2 linked regions of the Mytilus edulis genome follow. The protein of the gene in region 1 interacts with the protein of each later gene in a pairwise test. Links are inferred from orthologs where the notes say so. Each region holds a gene or a part of one and is shown on either strand. Other genes may lie near its edges.

What was found.
Region 2: the proteins of splicing factor, suppressor of white-apricot homolog (region 1) and cilia- and flagella-associated protein 20 interact in binary tests that used the Drosophila melanogaster proteins (3 or more experiments, as listed by UniProt). The link is inferred for Mytilus edulis from reciprocal best matches to the Drosophila melanogaster genes su(w[a]) and Bug22.

The regions. Positions count from the first base shown.
Region 1 is NC_092349.1:92,198,269-92,215,641, forward strand, and holds the start of splicing factor, suppressor of white-apricot homolog, read left to right. Parts: upstream 1-10,892; 5' UTR 10,893-10,927; coding exon 10,928-11,106; exon of another isoform or gene 11,107-11,137; intron 11,138-12,243; exon of another isoform or gene 12,244-12,288; intron 12,289-14,861; coding exon 14,862-15,022; intron 15,023-16,136; coding exon 16,137-16,244; intron 16,245-16,898; coding exon 16,899-16,957; intron 16,958-17,373. Other genes in the region: transmembrane protein 199-like, read right to left, coding at 2,552-2,632, 3,221-3,348, 3,952-3,982, 4,743-4,835, 5,119-5,195, 10,515-10,695. UniProt on the Drosophila melanogaster protein: Regulator of pre-mRNA splicing (and, possibly, of other RNA processing events). Regulates its own expression at the level of RNA processing.
Region 2 is NC_092348.1:4,765,554-4,783,211, forward strand, and holds cilia- and flagella-associated protein 20, read left to right. Parts: upstream 1-9,785; 5' UTR 9,786-10,136; coding exon 10,137-10,220; intron 10,221-10,846; coding exon 10,847-10,926; intron 10,927-11,482; coding exon 11,483-11,594; intron 11,595-11,915; coding exon 11,916-12,104; intron 12,105-12,409; coding exon 12,410-12,532; 3' UTR 12,533-13,330; downstream 13,331-17,658. Other genes in the region: uncharacterized protein, read left to right, coding at 17,548-17,658. UniProt on the Drosophila melanogaster protein: Cilium- and flagellum-specific protein that plays a role in axonemal structure organization and motility. Microtubule inner protein (MIP) part of the dynein-decorated doublet microtubules (DMTs) in cilia axoneme, which is required for motile cilia beating.

The sequences.
Region 1 (17,373 bases):
AATTTGAAAAGCTTAGATTGAATGGTTCATGAGTAAATGCAACAACCTGAATGGAAACACCATATTTTACGATCTTTCAAGAACCATAACTCCTGAACGGTAAAAGTCAAAATCGTCATTATTGACCTTGACCTCTATTTTGTCATCAGTAACAACATATTAAAATTTCAAAAGCTTTGGTTGAATGGTTCATGAGAAAATGCACGGACACGACGGGAAAAAACCATTTTTCAATCTTTCAAGAACCATAACTCCTGAACGGTAAAAGTCAAAATCGTCATTATTGAACTTGACCTCCATTTTATCATCAGTAACAGCATATAAAAATTTCGGAAGCTTTGGTAGAACAGTTCATGCATAAATGCACGGACACGACTGGAAACTCCATTTTTCAATCTTTCAAGAACCATAACTCCTGAACGGTAAAAGTCAAATTCGTCATTATTGAACTTGACCTCCATTCTTTCATTAGTAACAACATATTAAAATTTGGGAAGCTTTGGTAGAACAGTTCATGCGTAAATGCACGGACAACTCCATTTTTCAATCTTTCAAGAACCATAACTCCTGAACGGTAAAAGTCAAAATCTCCATTATTGAACTTGACCTTCGTATAGTTGTCAGTAATAACATATTAAAATTTCAAAAGCTTTGGTTGAACGGTTCATGAGTTAATGCACGGACAACATTTGATTGCCGCCCGCCGGCCCGCCCGCCCGCCGTACATCCCCAAATCAATAACCGACATTTTTGTCACAAAAATCCGGTTAAAAATTGAAACTTCAAATTCAACATTTTTGATTTGTAATGGGGCATAACTCTAGTAAGGTAAAATTGACGCCACCAGAAATTCATCATGATCTGTGTTTTGTGGTAAAAAGCATTGTTTATAAGTTTCATAACATTTGCTTATCCTGTTCAAGCAAATTTATTATTGAAGGTAGTTCACTCTGAGGTTGTGGTCATATCAACTTGAACCTTAATACACATTTTCATTATTAAAGTTATATACCAAATTACTGTTTTGACACTTTTTCATTGTTCTCTGAACATACATAATTTAATAGCGTGAAATTAGAACATTCTCGAGTTCAAATATTTGGTTTAGGTAGCTTACATTTTGACATAGGACTCGGACTTCTCTTGAACTGAATTTTAATGTGCGTATTTTTATCAATTACTTTTCTACATTGGCTAGAGGTATAGGGGGAGGGTTGAGATTTAACCCCGCCGCAATTTTGGGCCTGTCCCAAGTCAAGAGCCTCTGGCCTTTGTTAGTCTTGTACGATTTTTAATTTTAGTTTCTTGTGTATAATTCGGAGTTTAGTATGATGTCCAGTATCACTGTACTAGTATACTTATTTTTAAGGGCCAGCTGAAGGACACCTATGGGTGCGGGAATTCTCGCTACATTGAAGACCCATTGGTGGCCTTTGGCTGTTGTCTGCTCTATGGTCGGGTTGTTGTCCCTTAGACACATTCCCCATTTCCTTTCTCAATTTTACAATGAAATTGCAGGCACATCAACTTGCAACTTAATACACATGTTACATCTACAGCTTTTGGTGGGAGGGTTGTGCTGCTGAGTACTTTTTTTTTCTAATGTTATGTTTTCTGTATTTTGTACTCAGTCTGTTGTTTTTCTGTTTGTCTTCATTCTATTTAAGCCAATGGGTTGTCAGTTTAATTTTGACTTATGATTTTAAATGTCCTGTTGAAAGCTTTGCCTCTCTTTCATTGTGAAGTGAAATTTTACTTCTATGCTAAATTGTGATTTTGACCCAAACATAATGTTTTACTGTACATTGACATATGATAGTGTGTAAACCTTTGTCTCTATCAGTATCAAGTTTTTTCTTCCATGACACAAAAATTACTAGATTAAGTCTAACACATCCAAATGAATGACTTAATTTCTTCATGATGCATAGCTTTGATTTGAATCCTTGTCCAGGATTGACAATACTTTTTGTCCTTTTGTGTTGTTCCATTTACTCTTCAAAGTTTGTATTAGGTTTTGGATTATTAACTATGTTACCATCCCCGAAGAGACCTCAGTTGTCCAAACACACATCAAGTGCAATAAAGTTGGTATTTTGTAAAGTTATTATGTGCATGTATGTCTCTTATCAAGTTTCTAAAAGATCTCCCCAAGAATTAGAAGTTTATGCTTTTGCTTGTTCACCTGTACCAAACAGTATTTGAGTATGGAAATTGAATGATTAATACTACACGTTCAAGCGTCAATTGTCTGGGCACTTCAAGGAAGGGATGTTTGTCAGTGGAAAAGTCCTGTACAGATTTAACAAAAAAGTTATGGATACTCATTTAAGTTGTAGAGAAAACAACAAATCAGTCATATATTTAATCTCTGTTTATTATTTCAATAAATAAATAAATAATAAGTCTTGATTCTAGCACCAAAGTTTTCTACAATTCACTGTCTTCCTTGTGGCTTGACTCGGTCTATAGTCCATGGCATTCTGATTGGTTTGGCTCCATTCAGTTTCATGTGATTGCACTGTATAAACTGGATTACCTCCCTTTTGTGTCACCTCATGTCCTCTTTCACTAAGAAATAAAGGTCAGCAAAGAACACGATGGTACCAAGTACTAATCCAGACATCAATTGCTGAAATACAAAACAGATAATGGACGTACTGGTGTAGGAATTCAAGAACCTACCTAGACCTCAACACATTTTGTTTTTGTTAAAAGACTATTTACACTTGTATGCAAATTTATTTGCCATTACATAAAATCACACAGGTTTCCGTAAACTTTGACATCACAATTTATAACATTTGACGTTACAATTAGAAAGTCATTGTTGCTCGACGTCAGAAGGTTATTCAGAGTAGATCAAAGGTCATTCAGAGGCAAAATACAGCTAAATACCAAAAGTGTAAACACGTTTATTGCTATCTAATTGATGAATACACTAAATCTTATTTTATCTAAAGCTTATGTCTACAACTATTTAAAACTAAATCAAGTGTTTTTAAAAATATTTTGTTTGCATTCTTAGCTGTTTAACAGATGACTTCATATACTGCATTTCAACAGATATAATTAGACTGAGAAAAACTACCTTTCAAAATATGTCTGTTTGTATAACAGATGACTTCAGGTACTGTATTCCAAAAGATATACGGTAATTAGACAGAGAATAACTTTCCTTTAAAATATCAAAATGTCTGTAGCATTCTGGTTAACTTACCAAAGGGAAAGAATCTTGTCCAGAATCAGCAAAGGCATACTTTGTAGCCATGTATCCAAACACAAAAGCCCCGCCCACTGTCAATACAAAGTTAAACACTCCTATCATCTGATTGTTCAGTGTTTTCACTGAAAAATAAACATAATGCAGAATTAATGGTGTTTTAATTTTTGTACGAATAACCCTATAGATAGATGAATTTGAAAGATTTAAAATATTTCAGACAAAAGTCATATTTGTTTTAAATGAAAGTATTGTGTATGAGTTTCATAAAATTTGGATGTAACAAATGTAAGTTTGGATGCGGAATCTAAAATAAAATAGCAATTTTCCAAGTTATAAAAGGGCCTGACTCTAGAACCTTAAGTTATTTACTACCTAAATTTGAACTCTGAGAGTTTTGGTTCTTAGCAATGTGTATGTGTTTCATTAATTTTGTATGAGGCAATCTAAAGTTAGCATGCGGAAATGAAAATGGGTGAGATGGAAGGCCTTTTTTTAAATTACAGATTGTTCAACTTTATATAAGTAAAACAAGATGTTGTAACAGCGAATACATTTAGGGACACAAATAACTAAAATATATCTAGAGGTCGTCATATGGTCTTCAACAATATGGAGCGTTTTAAAGTCATTATAGTATGTATATATTTTATTTTTCTAAAATTTCTGTTTTGGTAACTTTTGCTATGCTAAACAAAGAAGTTTTTTCATAAGGGGAGATAACTTACATTCTTTTCCTATTGAACCTGGTTCATGAACCTGAAAATAAAAGGTTTATATTGATCATTAGTCTAATTTGAATGAATACATATTATATAGTATTATGTTTCTCGTGTAACAAACTACATGTGTGTTTTGTGTTAGGGCATCAGGAAAGACCTTAGATACAAGTTTTATCTAATGAAGTAATTCAGACACAGAACTACTCACTAAATTCAATATGAATCAATGAACCATGAAAATGAGGTCAAGATCATAAGAATCCAGTCAATATGAATCAATGAACCATGAGAATGAGGTCAAGATTATAAGTATCCAGTAAGAGTGACATGTACACCAATTATATTCTAATTAAAATAACTGTAGCTGAGATAACTAAACCTAAAGCTTACTTCATCTTATATCAATATAAATGCCTTTTCACCTTGAAATGAGGCCAAGGACAACTCAAATGTGCCAGATGGACATCACAGATCAACAGTCAAAAATGGATTGCCTTGAATAACTACAATACGATAGATATCTTAAGCTTTTAATTTAAATGGTCCACCTAAGTATCATAATGCCAGTATCACTGATTAAACTTTGTAGTCCCAGGTACATAAATGATCTTTATTACTTGTACAAGAAGTAGTAATAATGAAAGTTTTCTATTGGGAATCATTTCAATTTGTGTTATCTTAAACTATACAAAGATTATAATAACATAAAAAGAAAATATGGTATGATTAACAATGAGACAACCCTTCAGAAAAGACCCCAAAACGTCTGTTTTAGCACTATAATAACTATAGTTTACCTTGAATGTTCCAACATTTTTTGTCATCTTTTTGTAGTCTTTGTTTTCTTGTTGTGTCTTCAGTTTCTTAATTCTAGCTTCTAGTTCTGGATTCTAAAAACAAAAACTTGTGTGAAATGATCTTTTGGTATAAAATTACTAAGATTTTGTTCATTTCATGCATAACATTTGTTTCAGTGAAAATATTGTATTTCCTAGTCAATTACATTAATAAACTGACATTTCCCTCGTGAAAAAAATCCTTTACATTCACTCCTCTGGTGCGATATAGAACAGAAGATGAAGTTATAAACAAAACAAGAACATGCAGAACAAGATATAAGTTCCTTAAATTTCTGAGGAAGGTTAAAGTTTAAAAATATAATAAGTAACTTACTCTTGTAGGTGGAATGTATTCCTTTAAAATAAGGTCGCTGTTTTCTAAGAGTTCATTTAAATATAAACTGCATTTTTCTGAAAAGGAAGAATTGTTTTATCATTAAATGTTACTTATTTGAAAAATTCATCAACTGAAAAATTACAGTATTATTTTCGTATGGTTGATAATGAAACATATACACTTAAGCTGTGTTTTTGTCTTCGACAGTAACGTGATCATTGACACCATCAATTGACATGTCACATTAGGTGGTAACAGCAGTCACTTTTCAAATGTTATAAATAATATCTTGCTCAAATCTTTCAAAGTCACGAGGATGGGGCTCCCATAATTTGGCCACAAATTGTCAAATAGGTCATCCAGCATGTCTATAACACATATCCTATTAACATCCAGCATGTCTATAACACATATCCTATTAACATCCAGCATGTCTATAACACATATGCCCTATTAACATCCAACATGTCTATAACACATATATCCTATTAACATCCAGCATGTCTATAACACATATCCTATTAACATCCAGCATGTCTATAACACATATCCTATTAACATCCAGCATGTCTATAACACATATCCTATTAACATCCAGCATGTCTATAACACATATATCCTATTAACATCCAGCATGTCTATAACACATATGTCCTATTAACATCCAGCATGTCTATAACACATATGCCCTATTAACATCCAGCATGTCTATAACACATATGTCTTATTAACATCCAGCATGTCTATAACACATATATCCTATTAACATGATTAAGGTGAACATGAGGGCATCCGCAAAAAATTAAAATTACCTTTTAAATCTTTATCTAAGTAACATCAACTTAAATATATACTAAATATAAATGTAGCTAATAAACAGATTGCATAAACATTCAAAATGTTTCATGTTCTACTGGTTCTACAAACTGAATAGTTTCCAGCGCTACACATTAGCCACCTGCTTGCATAAAATTTCATGAGTTGTCTACCTTACATTAAAATAAAATTGACATTCAGGGGGAGAGGAGTCTACATAGTTTGTTGTAATACATAAATGTTGTTTATTGAAATATAATAAACCAACATTTTGTTATTTAATTTTAAGTACAAAATTAGCCAGAGTCTCTGATATAATTAGAGGCATTCTTAAACTGAGGATGCTTATTCAAAGAAGATGTAGTAGTCTAGCAGATTAATTTTATTTAAAGAATATATACAACTTTTTAATATGTTCAAAATAGTCTCTCATAAGTCAATTTGTTAGGCTGGGTATTGAATCAATACTATAGATTGTTTGAAATACCTAATGTACTGCATATATAAGTTATTGAATAATATCAACCCTGACTGATTACTATAAATTATGATATAACCCAGTATGAAAAGAAATAAAGAAACGAAAACCAGGGAAAGTGTTGGTGCTCACAGGAATTGGGCCGAACCATCCAAATTCTCATTTACTAGTTAGGTCAAACCTAGTCCACATAATTATGACGTCTTGATCGGCTAATAGTAATATAGATTCTTACACTGCAACAAGTGTATTACGATATTTCTCCACTCGAGACAGTTAAATTTTATTATTTAAAGCGCGAGGCTTGCCGAGCTCTTTAAATAATAAAATTTAACTGTCGAGAGTGGAGAAATATCGTAATACACGAGTTATAGTGTCGGAATCTGTTTCTCTAATGCTTTTTATCGTTCTTTTTCAAAGATTTTCAGAAAATTGTGCTCTTTATATGCGACGTCATCAGGCAAGGTCGCCTTTTTTCATGACGTCACAATAGGAAAATTGAGAAGAAAACAAAACATTTTGACGTCATAATCAAATTTCGACTAATCATTTGCCGAGAACAGATTTTTCACTAGTGAGGAGAAATATTTTTCTCACACCGGTCAGGAAATGTGAAAATAGCGCAAAAATTAGAGAATCATATTTTATTGCTTGACACCTTTGTCATGACAGTCGATGTAAGGTGATGTAATAATGCGTCAAAGCACAAAATCATATAAATATTAATAGCCTTTCAAGACGTCATAATTATTTTGACTAGGTCAATTTAAGGCGTTAAAACAAAAAAATATGGCTTTCGCGTCGATCCGGCCCCACGTCGATCCAGCCCCACGTCGATCCGGCCCAAATGTAAAGTCGATCCGGCCCCAATAAAAAAATATATTTATAAGGAATAAAAATAAAGATATAAATTAAAGTAATTCATAAATGTTTATGATTTTTGTTATAATGTTAAAGGTGTACGGTAAAAAAAAAAATTTCTTCAGATGATGTGAAAGACTATCTTAATTAATATGTTTTTATATATTGTCCTCTTGAACACAAGTATGTGTCTGAGGTTATGAATGAAATCTTGAAATCTTGCTAATCCAAATATTCAAAAACAGTTATTTGATATAAAAACTAATTTTGATATTCAATTAATTTTGTAGTGACATAGAAGACCCAGAACTTCCAGATAACGTTGTCGGTAACAGACCAGTAACTCAGGGGCGGATTTAGGCGGGGGCGTGGCGGGCGGGCGCCCCCCTAAAATTTGCAAAGCATGGGTTGACTTCAACATATTTAAGTATCAGAAGAGACCATTCAATCTTTTTTAACATTCAAAGTATATAAAACAGTCAGTTTAACAGAATCAACGTGATTACTAATCAACTGACCTACGCTTTATTAAAGTTCTATAAATAACTTCAAAGGAAGGTGTCAAACGCGGAGCTGCGTTTGACGACAAATATAATAGGTTTTTAGCAGTTAAAGAAAAACAAATGTTACATTGTATTTGCGGTTTTTATAATCAATTTGTTTGATAATCGAAGTTCCAAAACATCCCTTACTCACTTTCACAATTTCATCATGACACGGTCAAGCAAACAGTGAGATTCTTTTATAATATCCCGGCATAATAAAAGATAGAAATACTGTTTCAAGCGAAAGGTTAGTTTATTAATTTGTTTCTTTGTGTCTATATTTATTTCTCACTTGCAAGCTAAATATTTAGCCGAATTCTGTACCATATTACTGTATGATGGGGATCCCAAGAAAATAAATATAACTGCGTAAATGCATCTCATTCTGATTTTAGTTGTGTGTGGCGAACACAGTGAAGTTTGGCACGAGCTCCGAAAATCAAAAAAGTAAAACACAGGTAGTATGAAAGGACAATTAAAAATCGCTGGTAAAAGTAGAAATTTTCATTTGAAAAATATATTGGTCAGGTGAGCAATTGTGATCTGTCTCGTCTCACTTTGCGTCCGTCTGTCCGCCCGTCTATCTGTAGATTGTTGTCAGGTGTGGATTAAGGCGGTTTCAGCTTGAAACTTTAATTTCTCGCTAATTTTACCACACAATAGTTCGAGATATCTACATTTCACCCCTTTAGAAGAATATTTCAATAGTTTTACCTACAAAAAACTCCAAAATTTTTTCGTCTCACTCCGCTCGGCGAAAATAAAACTTTGCGTCTGGAAATCCTGGATCCGCCCCTGGTAACATACCACATAGAAGAGCAGGGTAGTAAGAGAAGATTCAAGAAACTAGTTAGCAGTGACTTTTTGCTTACACAGTCAAGGTAAGTAAATAGTATAATCTAATTCATTGTTAAGAGCGCAAAATAAATAAAAAAAGATAAGGTTTGAGTGCCAATAACTGGGCTTATACTTTTTTTTATATTAATTGAGCATGAAATTGGAGAATAAGTAAGTGACAGTGTAAAACTGTTAGTGTAAATGATTTAAAAGTTATATATATTTATGTGAGTGTCAGAGATAGTTAGTATGTATGATGTTATTGTTATATTTTAGTAGTGCTGATATTATATTTTAGAGTATGAAAACGTGCATTCAGTGTCATTGTTTTGTTATTTTCTTGCAATAAAGAATAATAATTTAATTTTGGATGTAACGCTTCTTCTGATTGGCTGACGTTATTTTGTTATGAGCCCATATACATAATTTAGTCATGTGACCGTGACGTCATCAACGTTTTTTCATGGTTTTCTACGGTTTAAAATGGAATTTAGAATTAAATTATAAGAAATGACTGTAATATTTCTTCTGTCTATTCGAAATAACATAAAAAATGTGGTGCACACTGTTAAATAACCCGCTACGCGCGTTATTCAGTGTGCATCAAATTTTTTATGTTATTTCTTCATTGACAGAAAAAATATTACAGTCATTCCTTAAATGGATACTCATATAACTTGTGTTTTTTCTACACACAACTATTCAAAATACTGTCAAATTTATGAAAAATATATCGATATAGGAAGATGTGGTGTGATTGCCAATGAGAAAACTCTCCATCCAAATAACAGTTTATAAAAGTAAACCATTATAGGTTATTATTATATACACCAAACAAAATATCAATCTATAAAGACCTTGTTGATATTATAAAAAAACAAACAAGTAAATAGAAGCCTGTGATGTTACCTGAAAAAAATACAATTTATAATTATTATATACACCAAATATAATTAAATTTAAGGAAGTAATGAATATGCCAAAACAATCATATTTGAAAAAGCTATGTACATTTATAAGGCATATTAATTCATGTGTGTGTTCTCCTGGCTAAGTTCAACTTATATTTGTAAATAGTGTACATATTATGTTTTCTGTAATTTATAATTGTGCTATTTATTACATGTAACTTCTGTATACCATTGTATTGACGAAGGTTTGTCAGAATTAAAATATATACCAACCTAAACCAGAAGATCAAATAATCAGGATTTGATTTAATTAAGTGATTACAAGTGGCATTACCTTAGTTCACAATCATCAGACAATTGTTGAATAAACAAACCAATTATAGACTCATATGATGAGTTAAATTTAATAGCTTCCAGTGGACTGTAAATATTTATTTAGATATTCTGTGTATGAACAAAAAGAAAATGAAATCGCCATGAGTTAAAGTTAAAGTTATCATGGAAAATATTTTCATATTTTAAAATATGTTGAAGCTGCTATACAACCAACGACACAATAACAATCATTTTCGTATCGATTTAAAATAGTTCTTTAACTGGTACTCCAATACTTCACTTACCTGTTGTCATCCATCATCGGACACTTTTTGCAAATTCCATTTATACTGTGTCACAAATTCCTCCAAGATCAATATAGTTATTTCATATTTTATTATGGGGCCGGATCGACTTGGGGCCGGATTGACTTGGGGCCAGATCGACTTGGGCCGGATCGACTTTGGGCCGGATTGACTTGCGGCCGGATCGGTTTGGGGCCGGAACGACCGGATACCAAAAATATGATAGCCTTTCAAGACCTCATAACAGATACAACAAACAAAGCCCTGAATTTCTACAAAAACAAAGTTTTATCTTTTTCATAACAACTGATCATGTGATGTGTACCTGGTTTTCTGTTTTTATATGCAAAATGAACAAGTTTGAATGGTATTTCGGTGTTCTTTTCATTCTTTATCAAGTATTTTTTTATTTCTTCTATCTCATTTGTTGTGTCAGTGTCCAGTGCTTCTGTTACATCTTGAAGTAACTCTCTGATTCTTTCTGTAACTTTCACTTTTGGTTCCATTCTGTACCGGAAATGAAAAGGGTCAATCTTATTTTTACTTTTAGGGTTATCAGGTTTCTGTAAATGCACATTTATTTATGTGTAAATGCTTACAATGTTTGGTGACTGTTGAATAAATGATTTTATGAAAATTAATAAATGTTAATAACCGGGGAAAATAGCGTTAAACTAAAATTTCTTTAGAAAATTTGTCGCAAATTGGCTTATTCCATTCGTTAGAAAAACGTCAAAGATGGCGGCGCTCATATGGGACATACCAGAGGGAGAAAATCAACAATCTAAGGAACCAGAGGAGCTCTCTGTGTTTGGTTATGCTTGTAAACTATTCAGAGATGACAGGAAAGCCTTCTCCATCGACGAAGGAGAACATCTGATACCATGGATGGGAGATTCCAGTCTGTTGATTGACAGGTCGGTTCTCAAGAAACAGCTGCTTTTACAGGTCTCGATTAGCTCGTATTTCTCGCGACGCGAACGCGTTAATCACGTCATTTTCGTTTCAGGATAATTGTACTTGAATGATCAAATAATTTGTTAACATGAATAATGTATTTAGGAACTATTAATCAACACACAATACAGCAGAAATGAAGAAAGTAATTTCTGACTGACCTTGACCTTATGAATGAAAGGAATGCCCTGCCATATGACAAATGTTGGTGGAAGCTTTTGTCAGTTGATGATATAGACTATAGTAACTGTCATGTAAAATCGGCCCAAGTTTTCTCTCAAAATCTTTATATTGATCTGATATGTTCATTTGATGACTTTTGCCTATCGCAGACTATAATCGGACATCACGTTCGTTTCGGACTTTGTTATTTTACGTATCATACAGGAAAAATCTGCAATGTCGTCACTATGCTAATACCAGCGTACAAAATTAGTGCAGAATATTTGTTTTCTTCTCTTCTAAGTCCCACTTCTAGCTTCCCTTGCTTTGTGTACATTCCATTAATCGTCATCAATCTTAGTAACAGACAAAACAGGCCCAAATAAATAATATAATTGCTTTTAGTAGATTTATACTAAAAAAAAATCACCTAATTGACCATAGAGCAATTTGATTGGGTATAATGATTCAATGCGTCACCTGGTTTTTTTTTACCATTTCAATTTGAATGTAAACAAACAGGGTCAGTAGCTTTAGTATGGAACAACATAGAGTGCACTATTAAAGGTCACCAAGCGCCTTTTTATGAAACTAATATACATTGCTTATTACCACAAAACACTGATCAAGTTTGAATTTTGGTGGCATCACTTTTTCTGTTCTAGAGTTATGCCCCTACATGTATATGTCCCATGGACACATTCCCTGTTTTTTAGGACTTTTAGATTTGGCCTTGTGAAAAAAACTTCACCTTAAATGAATACTATTGATAGTCATGATAGTAGCCAGGTGCCAATTTTACATGACAGTGACTAGTATATAAATATATAAAGTCCTTTGAATTTATTGTCTTTATTGTTTTTGAGCAATATTGATATTTGGTAATTAAGAACAAAACTATGTATATGTTGTGTTTGCAGAATGTTTAATTTCAGATTGCCTTGCAGTGACGTTATAACACAGAGAGTAACACACTGTTGGTAATTATACAAAAGTGTTGATTTAACAGGATAAGTATTGGTTTATGTGATTATTGGTCACATTTTCTACAATTATGAGTCATCTTAAAGTCCCAGAATTAAACAACTGGTCCAATCTCTGCCACACAATACAATTACACACACTGACACAGTAAAAAAATAAAGAGTAATTCTATTTTCTGACATAGATCATAAAAACATATTTAACCTAAACATTCAACAGATGCATTTATCTTTATATATAACCATGATAACTGAGAATGTTATTGAAACAATCCTGTTGATAGAACTTAATCAGAAATTTTGAAATAATTCATATTGGTGAGGAAAGGTAAAGATGAAGCAGGTCCAGATAGAAACAAAGACTTGAAAACACATATTTGCTGCTTCTGTGCTTATCGCACAACATGTAGGAGTAAGTTCAGAGTCAGAATAACTTGTCTGAGTAGACATGTGACAGTTAAATTGTATTCATGCAAACTGTTACCTTTTAGATTTAAACTAGCATGTTGAAAATAAAGCTCATCCTGTGAATCTAGTACATACATGTAGAAGGTTTCATTATTCATATATCACATTAACAATGATTAACGTTTCTTGTCTTGAATATGCATTTAACTTGTGGCTAGGCCTAAAAAAACATCTGTCATTATCATCTTAGCCAACAATTTAAGAAAATTGGTTACATGCATCATTACACTATATATAGCTATAATAAGAGATTCTCTTTGTTTATAAACATCATCAACATGGTAAATCCAACTTCAAAATTAAAAATTATTTTTTTGAATTATTAAATTTAGTATTTATTGTCATGATTGTAAACATGGTAAAATAGTAACTTTAGACATTGAAAAAACATATAACAGTCATGTCAGTAATTTATGATATTGTTTGTTAGAATCTTTTTGCAAAACATGTCTGAAGAAAAGTTCTGACAAGATTTTATTATATTGTATAATCAGTTGTAAAATAAGGATATGTTTGTTTCCTAAACCTACTGTTTATAAATAATGTAATAATCGGGACCTACTAAAAAAGATTGTATAATGTATCATAACTCAGGTTACCAATGGTTACATGGAAACAAACATATTTTTATAATAATTTAAAATATCTGACTGATCTTCATGTTTAGCATAGTGACAAATTTTAATCTAATTTAAGGTGATTTGAAAAAATTGTTCGTTAAAGAATGTGTATATAAATATTTATAATAGAAGCTTTCCCAAATGTGCATGAATTTGCTGAATTCAAAGTCTTTTTGGTTAAATTTTAGAATTTTTTTTGTAAAAATTATTGAAAAATGTTTTTGATCTAACCTTCTAACTGGTAGTGTCTGTTGAATTTATTCAATTGTCCAATGTTCAAGGTCATGACCCTTGGGTACATTTTGTTGTTTGCTGATGTATTTGTATTACAATCTAATTATTATTTGTAAACAATTCGTTCAACTTAGAATGACTATAAAAACTATAAAGTGATACATGTAGGTCACCAAAGTTTTCAATAGGAAACATGTTGTGTTGTATCATGTTAGTGTTCTCCCATCAAATTTGATAAATCATCCTGTTGAACAAATTAATTTAAAATTCCATGACTGCATCTTGTTTCTAAAAGTTAAAGTACACTGTATCACATCCTTAAGATAGTAATACACACTCAAGAAAATTAAAATCATATTACTGATTACCATGAGTCCATGACGATAAATAACCTTTAGGAGAACACTACATGATGTGACGGTACATATGTTTAGAATTCCGTTTTATTTTTGTTTTAAATGCAATTAGTTTTAATTTAAAACTATATGCAACTCAAATCACCTTAAAAGTAGATTAAAATTATCTTCAGTATGACCACACACTATACCATATACATGTGTACATATAGATATAAAAATATAGGAACAATTTATGACAAACGAAAACAACACCATATAAGTTTCATGAGTCTCCAACACTTTTCTGAATTTACCTTCATCAGTAACACTTGTAGCTGAGTCTTCAACACTTTTCTGAATTTACCTTCATCAGTAACACTTGTAGCTGAGTCTTCAACACTTTTCTGAATTTACCTTCATCAGTAACACTTGTAGCTGAATATTTGAAAGTCGAGGATGGACAAGAACCGAAATAGTGAGAAGCTATTTAAAAAAAAATAAGCTTGTGAGGCCTCTTTTCAGATTTTTTTTTACTGTGTAAGTCATGTGGTAAATCATGATAACTGATATTATATCTACTGCTTTGTAACTTGAGAAAACAGTTACTTTCCTAATTTAAACAAAAATGATAGAAAGGAATGAAAATCTGAATATTTTAGCCATATTTTGTACAAATGTACACATATGTGTAACCTTGAGGCTTCCTCTGAAAAACTTCTTAAGCATACCTTTTAGATGACCTCAGTTCTTTGAAAGCATGAACATGTGTTTGGTTTTTGCATATTTTTGCAATGCTATGATGTATATATGTATGTTGGTGGTCATATTGAAGAGAATAGTATTCTTAAATTTTACTGGTTATCATTTTATGATCACATTATAAATGTATGTATTTATTCTGTACCTTCAGATATGATGGACGAGGTCATCTGTTTGACCTTTCAAAATACGATGCCAGTCATGTTAAGAGGGCGGAGCTATCCGAGGAAGATAAACAGATGGAAGCTTGGTGTGACGAGGAAAGATACCTAGAACTCAAAAATGATCTAGCAGAAAAAAAGATGTACGAAGGTAGGAATTCTGTTTGATATTTGTATAAGTAAAAAGATGTATGAAGGTAGGAATTCTGTTTAATATTTGTATAGGTAAAAAGATGTACGAAGGTAGGAATTCTGTTTAATGTTTGTATAGGTAAAAGGTGTACGAAGGTAGGAATTCTGTTTAATATTTGTATAGGTAAAAAGATGTACGAAGGTAGGAATTCTGTTTAATATTTGTATAGGTAAAAAGATGTACGAAGGTAGGAATTCTGTTTAATATTTGTATAGGTAAAAAGATGTACGAAGGTAGGAATTCTGTTTAATATTTGTATAGGTAAAAAGATGTACGAATGTAGGAATTCTGTTTAATATTTGTATAGGTAAAAAGATGTACGAAGGTAGGAATTCTGTTTAATATTTGTATAGGTAAAAAGATGTACGGAGGTAGGAATTCTGTTTAATATTTGTATAGGTAAAAAGATGTACGAAGGTAGGAATTCTGTTTAATATTTGTACAGGTAAAAAATATATATTTCTCTTGTATGACGTCAATGATCTATGTTCTTTCTGGTCTTTTAATTCCTCGACAGAAATATTAAAAAATGATTGGAAACACTTATCTTGTCAATTTTACTCCACATTGAAACATACTGATCAGTCAACATGCTGCTTGAAAAACTTAAAAATGTTTGTGCATACAAAAATGTTGCATCTTTAGGAAAATGACCCAAAAAATCAATCAAATGTCCTTTTTCACAACCAAAAACTTGAAAAAGTTAGGATCAGGCTTCAATTATATTCATACATTATTTTATGTGGATTATCTAGGTTCAAGTGAAGCATGACATGGAATTTTAAATCACAAATTTTCGTTAAGCTTAACTGCAGATGACAAAATCAGAAAATCGAGTATCTATGTAACTGTAAGTTTCCTCGGGTCATGAAAAATGAAGTAATCCACAGGGCAAGTTAAAAACTTCATATATTACATTTTTATTTCAAAATGTGCATGGTGCTCTCAATCAGTAAAAAAAAACAAAATAAAATTGTTTTCACATGTTTAAGCAATTAAAATAATATTTTGTAAAATGTTCTTGATATATGTGTATATATACTGTGTCATGCATATATTTTTGTGTGTGTAGAGGAAGAATGGAAGAGATATTATCAGTCTCTATCAGAGGGTTTCAATGCTGTGGGATTTAGCTACGATCACCAACATCACCAAGATTACATGGAAACACAAGTACAAGGTAGGTTAGATCATTTGTAGTGAGTACAATATCTCATACAGTCTTCTTCCAATTGCATGAATTAGGTGCTCCGGCTTCCTTAAAAAAAACAAGAATTGACCGCCACACAATAGCACAATAGTGCTGAAAGTGGCTTTAAACATCAACCAATCAATCCATCTTCCATCACATGACAGTGAGACTTTGATGAAAACACGATGTGGAAAATTTGATAATCAGATGATACTGTGTCCAATCTGACCTCATGTTCTAGCTATAGGCCTTTTTAATATCTCTGTCATATTGTGGAAATTTTTGTCCTTTCCAACACAGATAGATGTCAATGGCAGTCTTCACAAGAAAACAATTGCTCAAACATCAACTCTCTCTGCCGATTAAACAAATCTCTTATTTTAAAAGCTGACCTTAACAAATAAACCAGGATTTCTACAATTAGTTTTCACTAACTTATAACTACGTGTAACTTTATAAAACTTTCTGACAAAAATGATCACAAACACAATATTACCACAGATGGTAAAACTTTTGGTCAAGTGAGTCACAATGTGTACAAACAATGTGCCAAAACTATCGAAATTAGGAGAAAAGATTGTTTTAAAACTTAGAACTTCTTTAATTATATAAATGTAATTTATTGTTATTTTTTATCAACAGAACCAGAGCCTATTTTTATAGTACCAGAAGATTTACAAGTCCCTTCAGAAATGGAAGTCGTAAGTTACATCTAGGGTTATTTCATTTAAATGTATGTCAGAAAATATCATAGGACATTGAAAATTCCCATATTTCTTAGCGTTATTCTTAATTTATATTTGTGACATAAATCCATAATTAATAACCCACACTGCATGTTCAAACATGACATTCCTGTGCCTACCCTCAAACATTCACTTAATGGAACAGCCCTTACTGAATATGAAACTTATTCAAGTGTTTTTATTTGAAATCAAACATCAAACTTATTTTTATCACCATTTTCTTAAATGTTGCTTTGAATTTTTTTGGTGATAATTTTCATATCATGTTTCTCTACTGAGTATGGTTGTCTCAGTCGAGTAGATAAAAATGATGATTTCATAAGCCTATGTCATTAACATTGCCTATAAACACAGTGATCAACAGAACATTG
Region 2 (17,658 bases), on another chromosome or scaffold:
TGTTTTCAATAGTAGAGATCCCTTAAACTTTAGCAAAGTGACTTGCACCATACAGGAAATCACAAAAAAAGAGAGATAAAATGATACAAGTTGGATATGTATGTATTATAGTAGGTAGCGAAAATGTAATAAATACTGTTGCCATAAAAAAAAAAAAATATTGGTGCAAAGCTTTATATACATCACCTGTCTAACAGGTGCTTACTTGTGTGTATCTGGAAAAGGTTTGAAATTGATTTACAGAGCTGTTGAGAAAAGTGAGAGGCAATGTGTCCAGCAAGATGTATGCATTTGTAGCTTCTCCTTAGTTCTTTTCCCACTTTTGATATTTCCCTGTTCAATACAGTGCACCTTTTGTCAGACATAAGGCCGGGGCATCGATTGAGTGACCTTTGAAAATTCTACACATGTTTAACATCTGATTATATTTAGTCTAAAAGATATTTATTTTCATACCAATGTCTTCTAAAACGGTCTTCTGGGAATGGTTGGTAAACATGTTTGTTAAAATATTTGATACATAATTTGAATTAACAATGAACTTGAATAACACGCTTTAAACTGAATGCAGATATCAAATATAAATTTTATATGGCAGACAATATTGAATCAGTATCAATCAAGACACCTCTGTTGAGATTTGATAAGGTGTTAGATATTGCCAAAGCGAGTTATGTACTTACAACAAGTTTGATGCTGCTGTGTTTATGTAATACAGATTTTTGGTTTTTATAAATCTTGTACAACAATACCTGATTTTAATATCATCTGACATGGTCGGCTGATACATAATGATTGCCATTGTATTACACATTAACTTCACCTGTATGTACAACTAGGTATATTATAAAGCTTGATAAAGACGGGAATGTTTTAGGTCTAATGAATTTAAGAATGAAAAGGTATTATTACTAATTATGATTTTAATTGCTGTTATATAATATTGTAAAGCAGGTCTCATTGGAATTATAATGTCTTTCAGTTTACAATGTATAGTTTATCATCACTGTATCGTTTGACTCTCACAGATCTGTTTTCATATAAATATTCTCATCATGTTGTTTATGACTGGTTAATATCTGCATCAGAAAAGAACATTCACATTAGCATTCGACTGTACACATTGAGTCTAATTTATGCTGACTTTTATGAATGGTCTCGGGGGAGAAATGCATAAATATATTCATAAGATGAGGTTAATGAAAAATAAATGATTTAGATAATAATAAAAAAAACAAATCATATTATAAATATAGCAAGAGAGACCAGGGAAAAATCATTTGAAGGAGCATTTATTGATGAAGATTATAGCTGTAATGATATGTTTGTGACAGTTGAGTGAGACTCCAAAGATCCTTACAAAGAAAGTTTGATTAGCTGGCAATGCATATAAATGTTTGATATTGTTCTTAAAAAAGTTTTATAATTGAAGATTATAACAAACATCAGTCCGAAGCACAACCTTTTGGTATAGATCTGAAAAAAAATTTTGGCAATTATTTAACAGTGCATTTATCAGTCATAGGACTTTGAATTGATAATCTCGATAACTCAAATTCTCCTTCACAAATATTGTGCTTGGGGGAAAACAGCTTTAACAATATATTCTATATGAAATTGTGTATTTACATCATGATGAACAATTATATTGTCAGTATTAGAATATCCTGTGAAAAAAGTACTTCAAATAAGGGTATTGTCTCTTTTAATTCAGTGGTGACAAGTTATTGTTAATTTTTTGAATGATTGCTCTGTTTTTTCATAATTTACTGTTTTGTTACTTATTTCCATCATACCTAATTTAATTATTTCACATGTTGCCCCAGAAATGAGAGTTGTCCTTTTATTTTTTATTGTCATGTGGAAAAAGGGATTCAGTTTATTTCTTGTTGTAGACAAATTTTCCTTTTGACATTTCACTTGTGTTGTTTGTTTCTTTTGTCTTGTTTACATGAAATTTCATTTGTATAAAACATTAAACCATGTGTATTTAAAATTAATTTGAAATTGTTTTTGATAAAATTTGTCTAAAAAAAAGACATTCAGTTTAGTAAGTTTAAATGTAATATGTTTTTTTGTATTGTTCATTTGTGAAATGAACATGAAATGAATTTGTCTACAACAACAGAATGTTAATTTCAATCTGAAGTTGTCTCCCATGCAGATATTGCAAGGGAGATAATTATGAATATTATCTCCCTTTCTTTATATAAGGTCAAAGTTGAGATGACTGGTTGAAGATTTATAATTTGATTCTGGTGCGTGTCATATCATAGAATACTTTTATATGTAAAGGTAGATGAACTAGCTGTGGTTCATGTCTACCTATTGCCAAGTCAAATATGAAACATTTAATAAAGTTCACTCTTGTTTTTTATGGCCAAACTTGAACTTGATGAATAGTCCTAAAAAAATATCTGACTGTAATAAAAGGTACACGGTAATGTTGAGAATTCAAATGAGAAAAACCATGAAAAAAGGTATGAATTTCTTGTAGTACTATTAAGCTGTGAAAATAGTACACATGGTCATTATGAATTGATGCAAACTTTTATTAGATGTGCCAACTAAGGATATTGCCAATTTAGCCCAGATTTAGTGATCGATGAGCATGGAAAGTATAATTAGATGTGAAGAACTTGTCTAGTTAATGTGGGTTTTGTGAATATAAGATCATGAAGTTGAATGCTTTCTTCACATAAATTGAACTGTAGGGCACGAAATGTCCAACTGTTAATATTATCCTTTAACCTTAATGAGACATTTTAGTCGGACCAGACTAAAACAGTTTACAGCAGATATCAGCTAGTAAAATCTGAAAAGAGGATCGACAAATGGGATCATTGGTTGTTAGCATTTGCAATACAACAGTTACCTATTAGCAGGCTATCAACAGACTTGAGAACATTGATATGGGTCTTCGACAAGCAATGTCCATGAAATTTCCAAACATGTGCTATAGAAGCAAAGATTGTATAAATTTTTATATTACCACAAAAACAAATTTTGCGTTGTATATTGGTATCACATCGTCCGCATCTTCCGAAGACTCTCAGTTTCCAAACAATAACTTAAGTTTAAGTTATGGGATCTCTATGAAATTTAAACACAAGGTTTGAAACCACAGATGGAAGTTTAAGATTGAATATGGGGGTTATGGTTCCAACAGTTTAGGAAATAAGGACCTTAAAAGGGGTCCAAATAAGGATTTTTCTAGTTTCCAGACAATAACTTGTGTGTAAGTGTATGGATCTCTGAAATTGTACCACAAGGTTCCATACCAAAAAAGGAAGGTTAGGATTGATTTTCGGGGCTATGGCCCTAACTGTTGAGGAATATACTTTGAATAAATTGCTTATTTCATGACCAATTTCAATGGGGTTTTATTCTTGAACTCTTGGGGTTCTTTAATATGCTGAATCTAACCATGTATTTAGTTTATAGATCTTGGAACAAAAAAGGTTAATGTCCAATTTAAAAAATTTAAGTTCTTGGACCACACATTGTGTTAGAAACCTATGCTGTGTCATATTTAATCACAATCCAAATTCAGAGCTGTATCAAGCTTGAATGTTATGTCCATACTTGCTCCAACTGTTCATGGTTCGACCATTGTGGTCTATCAAGCAGCACCCTGCAGAGCATTTTATGTCGGCAATGTTCCTGCAGAAACAGATCTGAGGTCACATTGCAGATATACTGAACAACAGAGCAGTCAATTTTCGAGAAAAAAAGATAAAAGTACATATATTCTTGCAGTAAGCTTTTAATTGATTTACCAGACAAGTTTATTATACGACCTTAAAATAAATTTTTGCCTTGTATAATGGTATCATGTTGTCGGAGGAGGACGCATTTGATCTCTATAAATTTTTACCAGAAGGTTAAAGACCACTAAAGGAAGGTTGGGATTGCTTTTGGGGGTTATGGACTGAATAGTTCAGGAATTGGGGGCCTAAAAGGGCCCAAAATAAGCATTTTTGTAGTTTTCAAACAATAACTTGTGTATAAGTGTCTGAATCTCTCTACAAGTTTCCATACCATGAAGGGATGGTTAGTTATAACTTTGGGGGTTATGGCTCAAAATGTTTTGGAAATCGGGGCTAAATAGGGGGAATAAGGGGCAAAAAAAGGGAGGGAAATAGGTTTTCTGGACAATTACTTTAGATTTAGTGAATGGATCTCCATAAATTTTTAAAAGAAGGTTGATTTTGGGGGTTCTTGTTCCAATAGTTTAGGAATTAGGGGCCAAAATGGGGGCCCAAAATAAGCATTTTTGTATTTTTTAAACAATAACTTGTGTTTAAGTGTATGAATCTCTCTGAAATTATACCACAAGTTTCCATACCAAAAAAGGATGTTTAGTTATGACTGAGGGGTTATGGCTCAAAATGTTTTAGACAAGGGGGGGAAACTAGGTTTTTCTGGTTAATGGACAATTAAGACAATTTAAAAGCAGTGTAAGGGAGGTAATTTCAAAAACAGTTAACATTCAATGTTGGGTATGTTCAGATTTACCTCCCTTACACTACTTGTAAATTATGTATAAAGAAATGTCAAGGGGGCGGTAGTAATTTTCAATTTTTTTCCCTAAATTTTTGAAAAGTTTGAAGAAAAAATCTTTAATTGCACAATATTGCATAATAGATTTGTAAGATCTTGACATTTGTTTTGTGTCAGAAACTCATATTATGTCAAGAATTTGATCACAATCCAAATTCAGAGTTGTACTTGCATCAAGCTTGAATGTTTTGTCCATACTTGCCCCAACTGTTAAGGTTTTGATATCTGTGGTCGTATAAAGCTGTGCCCTGCACCTGGTTCCATGTTATTTTTGTAGCAATTTAAAAGTTCATTGCAGCTAATGATTAAGAAAATATTCAAACAAATGGATTTCTTTTTATACAAAAAATAATGTGTGGTATGCATGCCAATAGAGACGAAAATGATGTAGTAGCTAGCAACTTTGGGTCACTGTACAGTCTGCAACAATGAGAAAAAACAATACTGCATGGCAAGAAATAAAAAAAAATGAAATGACAATCATAAGGGAGCTAGGATGTTATTTGAAAAAAAGGCAGAACATGAGTTTTGAGTGTATGTAAAAAGTCGGGACAGAGATTTCAACTTAAAAAGGCTGGATAAAAAATTTCATCATAGCACCCAAAATAAATCAAATAGTATCTACCTGAAACAATTCGAATGAGAAAACGGTTTACCCACTATTATGTTGTCTTGCAGTCTCATAGCTATGAACTGGAAAGAAGAATATGTTTAAATTATAGTTTTCTGGTTTTTACTGGCATTGACTGGAACTATGGAAGGTGTTGCAAGGTGGGTTTTTTTATTTTATTTTTGAGGGGTTTAAAATATTAAAAAGTATCAAATTTAGGATTTGTAAACGTTCGATCACATTTCGATGTGCCTAATTAACACCAACCTGACACAATGAACAACTTCGTGAACGCTAAATTGTTCTCATAATGTCATAATATTGACACATGACTCAATCTTTCCAATGAAAATAAATATTAGAGTAGTCTCGCGTGAGTCTTGCATTTTTCTAAAATAAAAATAGCTGAAGTGAAATAATTGAAAATGATGCAATAATTTTTGCCAGTATAGGAGAGATTTTGGGAAGTTTTGTATTTATTTTCAAATGAAAATGTTGTTGAAAAGTGCATTTACAATGCCTCCCTAGAAAATTATTTGTCTAGATTTTATTAAAAAAAAAATCTACATCCTTTTCATTCTTTTCAAAATCATGCAATTGAAAATCCCCGTGTACTTGATATTCATTTGGAAAAATCTCCATCTTTGTGTAATGGAATAAAAGTTTTAGAGTAACACTATCACCCGAGTAAAAATATGAAAATGAGATCAGAAAAACTGTGTGACTAGCTACACAGTTGGGTGGATTACAGCTCGAACGATACGCTAATTTTAATGCACTAGATGCGTATTACAACGTCTTTTTCAAAGATAATTGGAGACCAAATTATTTTAAAAAACCAACACCAATACAAACGACGAAGAGGAAATCAAATCGAAAGGGACCTAACAAGTATCGCCAAAACCGAACAAGGAATCAGCTTTGCATTAGGTAGAATTATTCCTTTTTAGTTTCCCAAATTCATGACCGTAAATATGATTTAAGCAATATCCGTATTTTACTGCAAGTACCAATGTAATCGGCGAACACAGCAAACATACATGAAATATTTGCAACTGGACGTTTAGCAAACAGCAATCTGAAGTGTCGCATAACCTTGACTTGCTAATCATCCATGTTCCCTGTAAATGTACGCGTGCTTAATATGGTTTCATCCACTTCATTTTAACTTTGGTGGATAGTTGTCTCATTGGCGATCATACCACATCTCCATATTTTCATAAAAATGGTCAACCCTATCAATATTGGATTGGTTGGAATTAGTACGTGCTCATCTTGTGGACAGAGTCTTCTCCTTATGTATATAAATGCTCAAATCACCGGGTATTGTACCAAAATTTTACTGTTTGCTAATCAAAGTCCTATGATAAGATTATTTTAAGATGCTTAAATAAAACCCGAGACATATACATCTGCATATATGTCTATGTATATAAAGATGGACTTTTTCGGTGATATAGCTATAGTAAAGGAAAAAAGTTCTTTACTGATTAAATAAATTCATAAGGGGTTCCGCTGCTGATTAAATAAATTCGTAAGGGTTCGTGGAACCCAGTTTCTCGCCTACTATTGCTGTAAGTCGCAGGCTCAACAAAAATGAGGAAAAAAATCAATAAAAATATTTCTCTTGATACTATCTTTTGATTGTAAGAAGCTTCTGTCCAAGTTTGGTAAAAATCCAGATTAGTTTATGAATCTAATAAATGTTTTAAAAACTTTAACTGCAGACTGTATGTAATGTTAATTGGAAGAAAAGTGCATTTATAAGTGAAATGCATGCCGATACACAGGAACACAATTTTGACAAAATTTCCTTTTAGATTCTAGCATTTGATCATAAATAAGCTTCTGTCCAAGTTTGGTACAAATTAAAAATAGTATAAGAAAGTTATTAAAATTTTAAAAACTTTTAACCACAGAGTGAATGTAATGTTTCCCCGCATAAAAACTTAAATTGAGAAAGGAAATGGGGAATGTGTCAAAGCGATAACAACCCGACCATATAGCAGACAACAGCCGAAGGCCACCAATGGGTCTTCAATGTAGCGAGAATTCCCGCACCCGTAGGTGTCCTTCAGCTGGCCGCTAAAATATGTATACTAGTACAGTGATAATGGACGTCATACTAAACTCCGAATTATAAACAAAAGACTAAAATTAAAAATCATACAAGACCAACAAAGGTCAGAGGCTCCTGACTTGGGACAGGCACAAAATTGCGGCGGGGTTAAACATGTTTATGAGATCTCTATATATATAGCCAATTAAGAAAAGTAAACGCATAACTAAGTCCATTTATATGTAAAATACGGAAAAAAATGGAATTTTATTTTTACAAAATTTACTTTTGGATACTACCTTATGATCATAAAAAAGCTTCTGTCAGTGTTTGGTAGAAATCCAGTATGGTTTAAGAAAGTTATTAAAACTTTAAAAAAAACTTTAACCACAGAGTGAATATTTGTGGACGCCGACGACGTCGACGGAATGTAGGATCGCTATGTCTCGCTTTTTCGACTAAAGTCGAAGGGTCGACAAATAGGAACATTATAAAAGAAAAATTCGTGAGGGTTCCGCGGAACCCAGTGTCTCGCCTACTCTTTCTGTTAATCGCAAGCTCAACAAAAATGAGGAAACAAATCAATAAAATATTCCTGTTGATACTATCTTTTGATTGTAAGAAGCTTCTGTCCAAGTTTGGTAAAAATCCAGGATAGTTTATGTAATAAATGTTTAAAAAATTTAACTGTACACTGAATGTAATGTTAACTAGAAGAAAACAAAATTTACTTCTGGATACTATCTTATGATCATAAACAATCTTCTGTCCAAGTTTGGTACCAACCCAGGATAGTTTAAGAAAGTTATTAAAATTTTAAAAACTTTAACCACAGAGTGAATGTAATATTTCCAGGCAGTCCATTTATAAGTAAAATACGGAAAAAATGGAATTTTATTTTTACAAAATTTACTTCTGGATATTATCTTTTGATCATAAACAAGCTTCTGTCCTAGTTTGGTAGAAATCCAGGATCGTTTGAGAAAGTTATTCAAATTTCAAAAACTTTAACCACAGAGGGAATATTTGTGGACGCCGCCGACGACGACACCGAGGACGACGGAATGTAGGATCGCTTAGTCTCGCTTTTTCGACTAAAGTCGAAGGCTCGACAAAAATGAATTTCATCCTCAACATCATCAGAATAACATCTGTCGCAATTATTACTTCATAAAGCACATTTGGATCAATATATCGCCAAGTTTCATCTTAAAACTTGCGATTACTTATTCTGAACTTTGAATATTGTTTTCTTTTTTTTCATACACATAAAAACAATATAATATTGTATAAAAATACAAATAAATTTTATAATCGGAGTTTAAATATCGCTATCCAGCCACAAATGACTTGTAATAATTGAAGAAAAGGATTTTCTTTTTCTTTTTTTTCAAGTTAAAAGGGGGGGGGGTCATTGTTTGATCATGCAGATGAGATTCAGCGTAAATTATCTTATCTTTCCTTTAAGACCTAGAAATAAGAAGTGTTATGATTGCCAATAAGTCAACTCTCCACCATATGACATAAATAAACAAGTGCAAATCACCATACGCGGCCTTCATAAATGAACAAAACCCATACCGCATAATAGTTAGCTATATATAAATGACCCCAAAATGAAAAATATAAAACAATTTAAATGAGAAATCTTACGGTTTGATTTATGTACGCAATCTAGTTACTTGGGATGATCAATGGCTATATTCACAGATGTATTTTGTATCCCATTTTTATTCGGGGGAAAACCTAATAAGCATGATAAGTTAAAGGTTATATGTTTTATACTACGCCGAGTTCACATTAATATTCTATTTCATATAATTTTTTTTTAGTAAATTATAATTTCTATAATCAATGATATTTCATCATATTTCAAATACACCAATTTGCTCAGTCCTATCAATATGAAAAAAATATTTAAATATTAAACGAAATCTATTTTTACTAAAAAAATACGTTACTTTTGGATACTCCAAACTGCATCAATATGTGATGAGCTTTCTCAATCCGCTACTATTTAAATTTACTGTAATAAAGGTTGACAAAGCTTGCGGATTCTTATGATCTTTTAATTCAAATACACTTTAATTAAAAGGATGTGTATACTTTACAATTGATATCAGTTTCTTTTTTTCTAATCAGACCCCCTCCCCCCAATAAAAAACCAACATATTCTACACTAGGCATTATATAGACGAGTAAGGCTAGTACTAACCTTACCTCAAGTGGTTAACTCTGATTCGCCATGATTTTCTATCAATGGACCACTAGACGTTTTACAGCACTCAATCTTCATCATTTCAGTAAAAAAAAAAACGGGGAAAAAAATAAATCTTTTTTTTTTAGAAAACAGTATACTTTGACATGAAATTATCGCCAAACACCTATTTAATTTACCTCTTGCAAATATTAAGACCAGTTTTTTAATCAGATTCCACAAATTACTTAAGTTGTTGATATTCACCAAAAAATACACTGTAAAACAACGAATGATCAATGTAAATAAAACCACGTGTGTCGTCTACTCGCTACAACAGAAGTACTAAGCGTGCCACTACATATATCACTACTCCAAATCCATATATTCAAATATCTTTTTAATTAAGGCATGACATAGGTTGAAACTTTCTGGTAATTTTCAAACTGCATTATTGATATAAATAATTTAAAAGAATAACAATAATATATGTGTTTATACTAATTCTCAATATAGTTCCCTAGCGTCACACGTAGCAACTAAAACCAAGCGCGACCGTATCGCCACCCTTGGCAACTTCTCTAACTTAACCGACACACAACTGAACCTTCACTTGACAACTGTCCACCACGAGAGAAGGAGCGTATTAGTGTGCTGTCCAGGAGGACTAAGAACTTAGAAAATTTTCACTATTATAGACAATAACAATGTTCAAGAATACATTTCAGAGTGGGTTCTTATCCATACTTTACAGTATTGGAAGTAAACCGTTACAAATTTGGGACAAAAAGGTAAGTTATTTTCATTCTATACACCGGTTATCATTACCATAGTGATACATTGATGTCAACATGAAAACCTTCAACTTCATCTAATAATAACATGACAGTATGCATAACTTGCTTCACAATTAGTTTAATATTATATGGTGTCATCACCAGATTTCTATTTCGAAAAATTAAGGCATTTGACAAGCAAGAAACTTTTGTTTTTGTTGACACACGGAAGTGCACGTGTAAACAACTTACAAGTGTTTGAATGTTATATGTTATACACAAATATTTTAATTTTATACACTACCATCGAGATTTATGATGACGGAAGTGTACAATTATTAATTTTTCGGAAGTAATGTCACTTTTAGTAGCCATATGTGATGTTGATGTTTATGAAGATGGAGATGTTCGTCATCTCGCTTCATTGAATTCTATGTCATTATTTTCATTCAATTGCACATTATAGAACATTTTATTAGAAAAACACTACTAGTTAACGATAAATAAAGTATGTTATATAATTTTGCATGGAGTTAGACCTCCGTTGCCAAGATAGTATTTTGTTTCCTGATCATCAACATCATGGCCGCCATTTGCATTCTAATAGACAATATTATAACATCATGTTATTATCGTTGTAGGTTAGAAATGGTCATATTAAACGTATAACAGACAACGATATCCAGTCCTTAGTTTTAGAAATTGTTGGTACAAATGTCAGGTATGTACTTAATCAACCATAAACAAATATTTCTTTGTTTTGAAAAAGAGATAATTTTGAATTATCTCCCTTAAGTAACATCTATGGTAACACATAATCAAACACAAATATACATGCATTTGGTTATTTAATGAGACAAATATAGCTAACTTTCATTTAATGCAATTTTAATTATTCTTATTTATGCAAAACATTACATATTCAATATAATTAGTTGAATACTGCATCCTATATTATTTTAAACATCTTTATTATGTCAAGTGACATGTGCAAGTTTTTAAAGTGATTCTGTAACACATTAGTACTTTGAAAATATTTTCTTTAAAATGTTAATCTTTTAAATATTTTCTATGCTACAAGTGTTAAAATTATTTGTTCTTACAACATAACAAGTTTGAATTGTTTTTCTACTTAAATAAATGCACATTTTATGTTAAATCTTGTATGTTTATTGACTGAATTTTAAAATTAATTATTGAAAGAACATACTTTTTATTTCTAGTAACAAATGTACCGGTATGAATAATATTTTGATATTTCCCTTTTCTATTTATAGCACAACATACATCACATGTCCAGCAGACCCAAAGAAAACATTAGGAATTAAACTTCCATTCTTAGTTATGATCATCAAAAACTTAAAGAAATATTTCACATTTGAAGTACAGGTAAGAATGTAGCAATTATATTTTTAATTTAAAGTCGACCTAAAAATGTTAGTTATGCAATTCTATCACTAAGCATGAAATGTGAATATGTTAAATGAAGAAACTTATCTTTACAAAAAAAAACATGTTACTTTAAAAGAACCCATTGGATTTCTGTTCAGAAATATAAATAAATAAACACACAAATGTGCATAATTCTTCAAATGTTTTTTTTACTATTTCTGTTGCAATTTAGTATAAATAAGTGACGAGTCAATAGACAATGACTTAACCATGATGGTCTTAAGTCCTTTTATAACATTTCTTTCTGTAATATTTTAGGTCTTAGATGACAAAAATGTGAGACGAAGATTCAGAGCTAGTAACTACCAAAGTACAACACGTGTAAAACCATTTATATGTACTATGCCAATGAGGTTAGATGATGGATGGAATCAAATTCAATTCAACTTGTCAGATTTCACAAGGAGAGCCTATGGAACAAATTACATTGAAACACTTAGAGTACAGGTTAGTATTGATTAACTTGTCAATGTATAAATCAGGTTAAATTGTCACAATCTTATGTTTAAGGTTAAGGTCTTGGGAATTATGGTAAAATAAGGAAATATATTGTACCACACAAACAAATAGTTACTTTATTTTACAAGAACAAAAAAGAAATTGGTCCTTTTCAGGAAATAGTGTAAAAAAGAATTGAGAGATGGTAGCCTTTCAACAATTTTATAACAAACTTTTGATGTACAGTTTTGCATTTTTTAATACCCATTTATTACAGTGATATTTTGATTTATTGTTTCTATTTCTTTTTTCAGATTCATGCCAATTGTCGAATTCGTAGAGTTTACTTCTCAGACAGACTTTATTCAGAAGATGAATTACCCGCAGAATTTAAATTATACCTTCCGGTGCAAAATAAAGGAGGCGTGAAAGCATAACAAAATGACTAATTAGACAGTGTATATAAATTATACGAAAAATAAAAATGTTCAAATGCTACTCAAGAACTGAAGGTGAATTATTGCGAGAATGTTGGATATTAAGAGATGCTGCCTGTTTTTACAAATGTCTTGCAAAAATGTTGTACGAGAGACCAATCAAACATGGCTGATTCCTGCCTAGAGTCTCGTTGAATATGCCATGATCATATACGAAACAAAGTGTTCATTTTAAATTGTCATTGATGTCATATTTCATATATCTCTTGTTGCATGAACAGTTATTTTCATATTTATAGGAAGACTCGGTGCAATTATACAGCCAGATTTAAAAATTGTTTATTAATTTTGCATAAATGATTTGATATTATTGTCTTTCTGGAACAAAATGACATTTAGTGCTTTAAAAACAATGTTTTCAAATTTTATACTGTGTTTATATTCCACACATATAGTACTTATTGATATGCAGATAATAATGTAAAGTTTAAATTTGGTTGTATTTGCCTGTAGATCTCCATATCTCCCGTAATTCTCAGGATATTTTTAAAACACAAATTGCATCTAGCATTTGAATAGAATACAAAATAAAGAAGATTTAATTCCATTTTAAGTTGGGATTTATTGCAATATTTTATTTTATATATATTTCGAAGTTGTCTTTTCCTGACTTGTTTTGTTAGTGGATAAATTTTCAAATTTTTTCCTGTTATTGTCTTTGTTAAACAATGTTCTTGCATTTTAAAAATTATTTGTACATAACTTCCATAGCAAAAAATAAATGTATATTAAAAATTAGCAGATGAACAGATATTCTCTTTCAAAGTAATATATTCTGCCAAAAGAATCCATATCACCTGTAGAAAGTGAAGCTGCTTGTTTGATTGTGCTAGCTTAATGTCCAGTGGCAAATATTGCTCTCATATTCAAGACATTGGAAAACCACCTACTGACCCTTCAAAGTGTTGTAACATGAGATATTAAACATGAAGTGATGCTGAGTAAGGTACTTCCTACAAAAAGCATTTTTAACCCCGTTTAACCCTGCCGCATTTTTGCGCCTGTCCCAAGTCGGGAGCCTCTGGCCTTTGTTACTCTTGTATTATTTTAATTTTAGTTTCTTGTGTACAATTTGGAAATTAGTATGGCGTTCATTATCACTGAACTAGTATATATTTGTTTAGGGGCCAGTTGAAGGACGTCTCCGGGTGCGTGAATTTCTCGCTACATTGAAGACCTGTTGGTGACCTTCTGCTGTTGTTTTTTTCTATGGTCGGGTTGTTGTCTCTTTGGCATATTCCCCATTTCCATTCTCAATTTTATTGGATGCAAAATCCTAATTTTAAACGAAATGAAATGAGGTTCCATACAGTTAAATGAACATCCCTTCTGTAGTTTTTTCAGTTAGACTGAACCTGTGAAATTTGTTAACCCTTGTATTAAAATAGGAATTAATTTCTTGGTGTTCTGCAAGCAGTTACTTTTGATAGTTTGTTGGTGTTTGACTAAATGTGAACCTCATAAAACAATCACAATCAAATACACAAATAAATTACTTCAGATATGGTGTTTTATTCCAGGATTTTGAACAAAGAAATCATATTTAACACTTAAACACCTGAATGAAGTTTTCCCCATCAACATTACAGATAAAATGTGTTTCCCCCCCCCCCCCCCCCCCCCCGGAAATATATAGGTTAGTAAGACAAGAAACTAACACAACAAAAGATTAACTGACATAAGAGCATTATCATAGAGGCTTCAATTTAACTAATTGAATAAAATTGAGAATGGAAATGGGGAATATGTCAGAGAGACAACAACCTGACCATAGATCTGAGTACAACAGAAGATCACCAATAGGTCTTCTATGCAGTGAGAAACTCCTGCAGCCAGAGGCATCCTTCAGGCTTAACCACTGACCTTGTATGATTCTCCAAAAGAAGTCCACTACAAAATTGTTAAAGTTTGTTTGTTCTGCATTTGATGGCTTTCATAAAGTTTTGTGTTGTCCCTCTTGTCAGATGCAGTTACAAGTGAAGGCTAGAAAAGTATCCAGGTTCTTCACAAAAGACTGACTAGACATGTGCACAGAAAATCAGATTACCTGGATTCCGTTTAGGAAATTGATCACTTGATGGTTATCTTTAATCGATTTATTTTTTTTAAATTCAGACTATTGTCATCAGTCTTAAAAGAGAGCAACACAAGGTGTGTGTCTTTTAAAAAAAATATCCCCAAAACGCACCTGTCAGACTTGTCCTCATGCATTAAACAGTTCAAGCATTCCATCGTCCTAAGCGTTACAAATGTAATTGATTTGGCAGTCAACCCATGCAAGTGGTCGATGAATTCTTGGTCTGGGTTTGCTAACTTCTCAAGAGGAGACTTATCCCATGTTGCTTATCAAACCTCATCTTAGTTTGCTCCATCAAAGAACCACTAGACTCGCCTTAACGCATTTAAGATAATTAAAATAAAGATAAAAAAGAACAGTGTCCATCATTCTTGTTTTATGTGAATAATATACATTTGTACCATTAACAGTGTCTCATGTGAAGACGGAACCATTTGCATGTTGAATCGATAATTGTCTTTCAAACACAGAAGGAGTCTCGGTGGCCAAGTAGTCCAAGAAGTACTACCACCACCGTAATCACTAGCCAGTCAACACTGAGTGAGTTCAAATCCCGCTCGTGTAGGTACACTCGACTCCAATCTTGATTGCCTAGGATTGCCAGTTTTCCTATGGAAGGTCGATGGTTTTCTTCGGGCACTCCGGCTTCCTCCACAAACAAAAACTGGCCGCCAGGAAATATCACAAAAGTAGCTTTAAATACCAACAATCTAATGCGGAAATTTGATTCAGTAAAAAGTTGGGTTTATTTTGGGAATTCTCGCCATGACAGCATTATGCGAAACTCAAATAAGACTATCTACGCTAGTCAAGGGTAAAGGTGGGGAGTGATCGTAATCATTGTCTAGCGAAGATGCAATATATCTGGAAATGTCCCCTTTCTATATTAAACTTCCTAGACATGTGAAATGTTTCTAGATCCATATAGATAAGATGTGACATTGCTGCCTATGAAACAACTCTCCATCCTGTTTACAAGTCACAACTTGTAAAAGTAAACCATTTACAATGCTTATCCAATGACCTTTGGAGTATCACAATAGCAATGGCTCAAACAGTTTACCAAATTGCAGTTAGATTTCTTCTCCAACTAACTGATCAACTGGTAAAATGTTTTAGCAGATTGCTCAAGTGAAATGTTGTTAGTATGAAGTGAGTGCTGTGAAATCAAAAGTTATACTTACCATCCAGATCCAGTTAGTTGATATCTTTGTCATTTGTTTCAAACACAAAAATGACTTACTATAGTATGAGTCACTGAATAAGAAGGTCTAATTTTGACATGCTATTGTGATACCCCAAAGGTCACTGGATAAGCACAGTAATATTGCTCAAACTTTGGCCTCCAACACGGAGGCTTGGCACAAACCGCATGTAGCAAGCTATAATTGGCCACAACAATGACCTCCAACACCGTGGGGCTTGGCTCAAACCGCATGTAGCAAGCTATAATGGCCCCAACAATGACTAGTGTAAAACAAATCCTTGGTTTTAACATGAGAACCAACTTACGTCCTAATCTATATTAAAAACACTAGAAACTCTAATGAACCACATTAACGTTACAAACTATAACCACTGGACAGATGCAAACAAATGCAGCGGGTTGAAACGTTTAATAGGCGCCAACCGTCATACTAACCAGAAACAATAGTTTAACAACACAACAATGAAAGACACACTATAAAACATAAATTGCATTTTTAAAGCAGACGATACAATTATATATATGTATGTAATATATTTTCAATCACATACAAGTATATATAACATCTGTCTAAAGTACTAATGATGCTTTTTTTCCCCAGTAATTGTTGAGACAATACCAAACATGATAACTAAAAAGAAGGCGGAAAGATAAGATGATAAATAATGATTTTTTTCTATTTTTCTAATGGGCATTCTTTCTTTCGTTCACAAATGACAAGTTTTTTCTTTCTATTCTCTATTATATGTTTATAAACATTAAATCATCCAAGTAAATGGCATGTAAATGGCATTGGTGGATCCAAAAGGGGGAGGGGTTCCGGGGGTTGGAAACCCCCTTTTTTGGCCGATCAATGCATTTGAATGGGTGCATAAAGTTGGACCCCCCCTTTTTTAAATGGCTGGATCCGCCCCTGATAATGGAACGTTTAGAAGTTTCGTTTCGTTATCCATGTGTGACATAAGAAAGTCTTGTTTCAGAGCAGACGCATTCCGAGTCATGACAAAACTACTCTTTGTTTATAAATATTCATTTTCAAAATAAATTGCTGTCAATATAATTAATGCAATAATGTAATATGAGTGTTGGAACAATATAGTATATAAGAAAAGTACGGCCAAATCAAGTAAAATTTACTTTACAAATCGTTTGCCAAATCGACTGTGGCCAAACTGATTGTGAGGCCGAAACGACTATGGTCGAACTTGTTCTGTGGTCGAAACGATTGAGGCCGAAACGTCGCGAACGCCTTTGAACTTATTTATTCAGAATTAACCCGAATAATTCAGTCCCTCCCCGTAATCGAGCTCTCCTACTTGCGAGGAGTAAGCGGAATATAACGACTGAATTATTCGGGTTAATTCAGAATGTGAATTAGGAAAACGGACCCGAATATTTATTTTAGGTACACCATCTGTTAGCTTATCCGTAAGTTCCGCCGCTATCAGGCACACCTTAAAGGTAATACAAGAACTCTCATAAATTGGAGGTGGAAACAATCATTGGTTTCAATATTATTTTGTTTCGCAACAGTGAGACATTCAAATGAGATATTGGGTAAAACGAAGACACAATAGTTTCATCTTTTACTACAATCACCACAGACAGACAAACAGATAGAAGGAAAAATACCCAAGTTGTTGGCACAACATAAAACAGCAAAAATTATATATGGCTTCTGTCACAGCTGAACCAGACTCTGATTCCATTCAAGATACAATCATTGATTTAACAAAGAAATTAGATGGGAACAAGTTTGCAAACGATATTATATACCTTTTA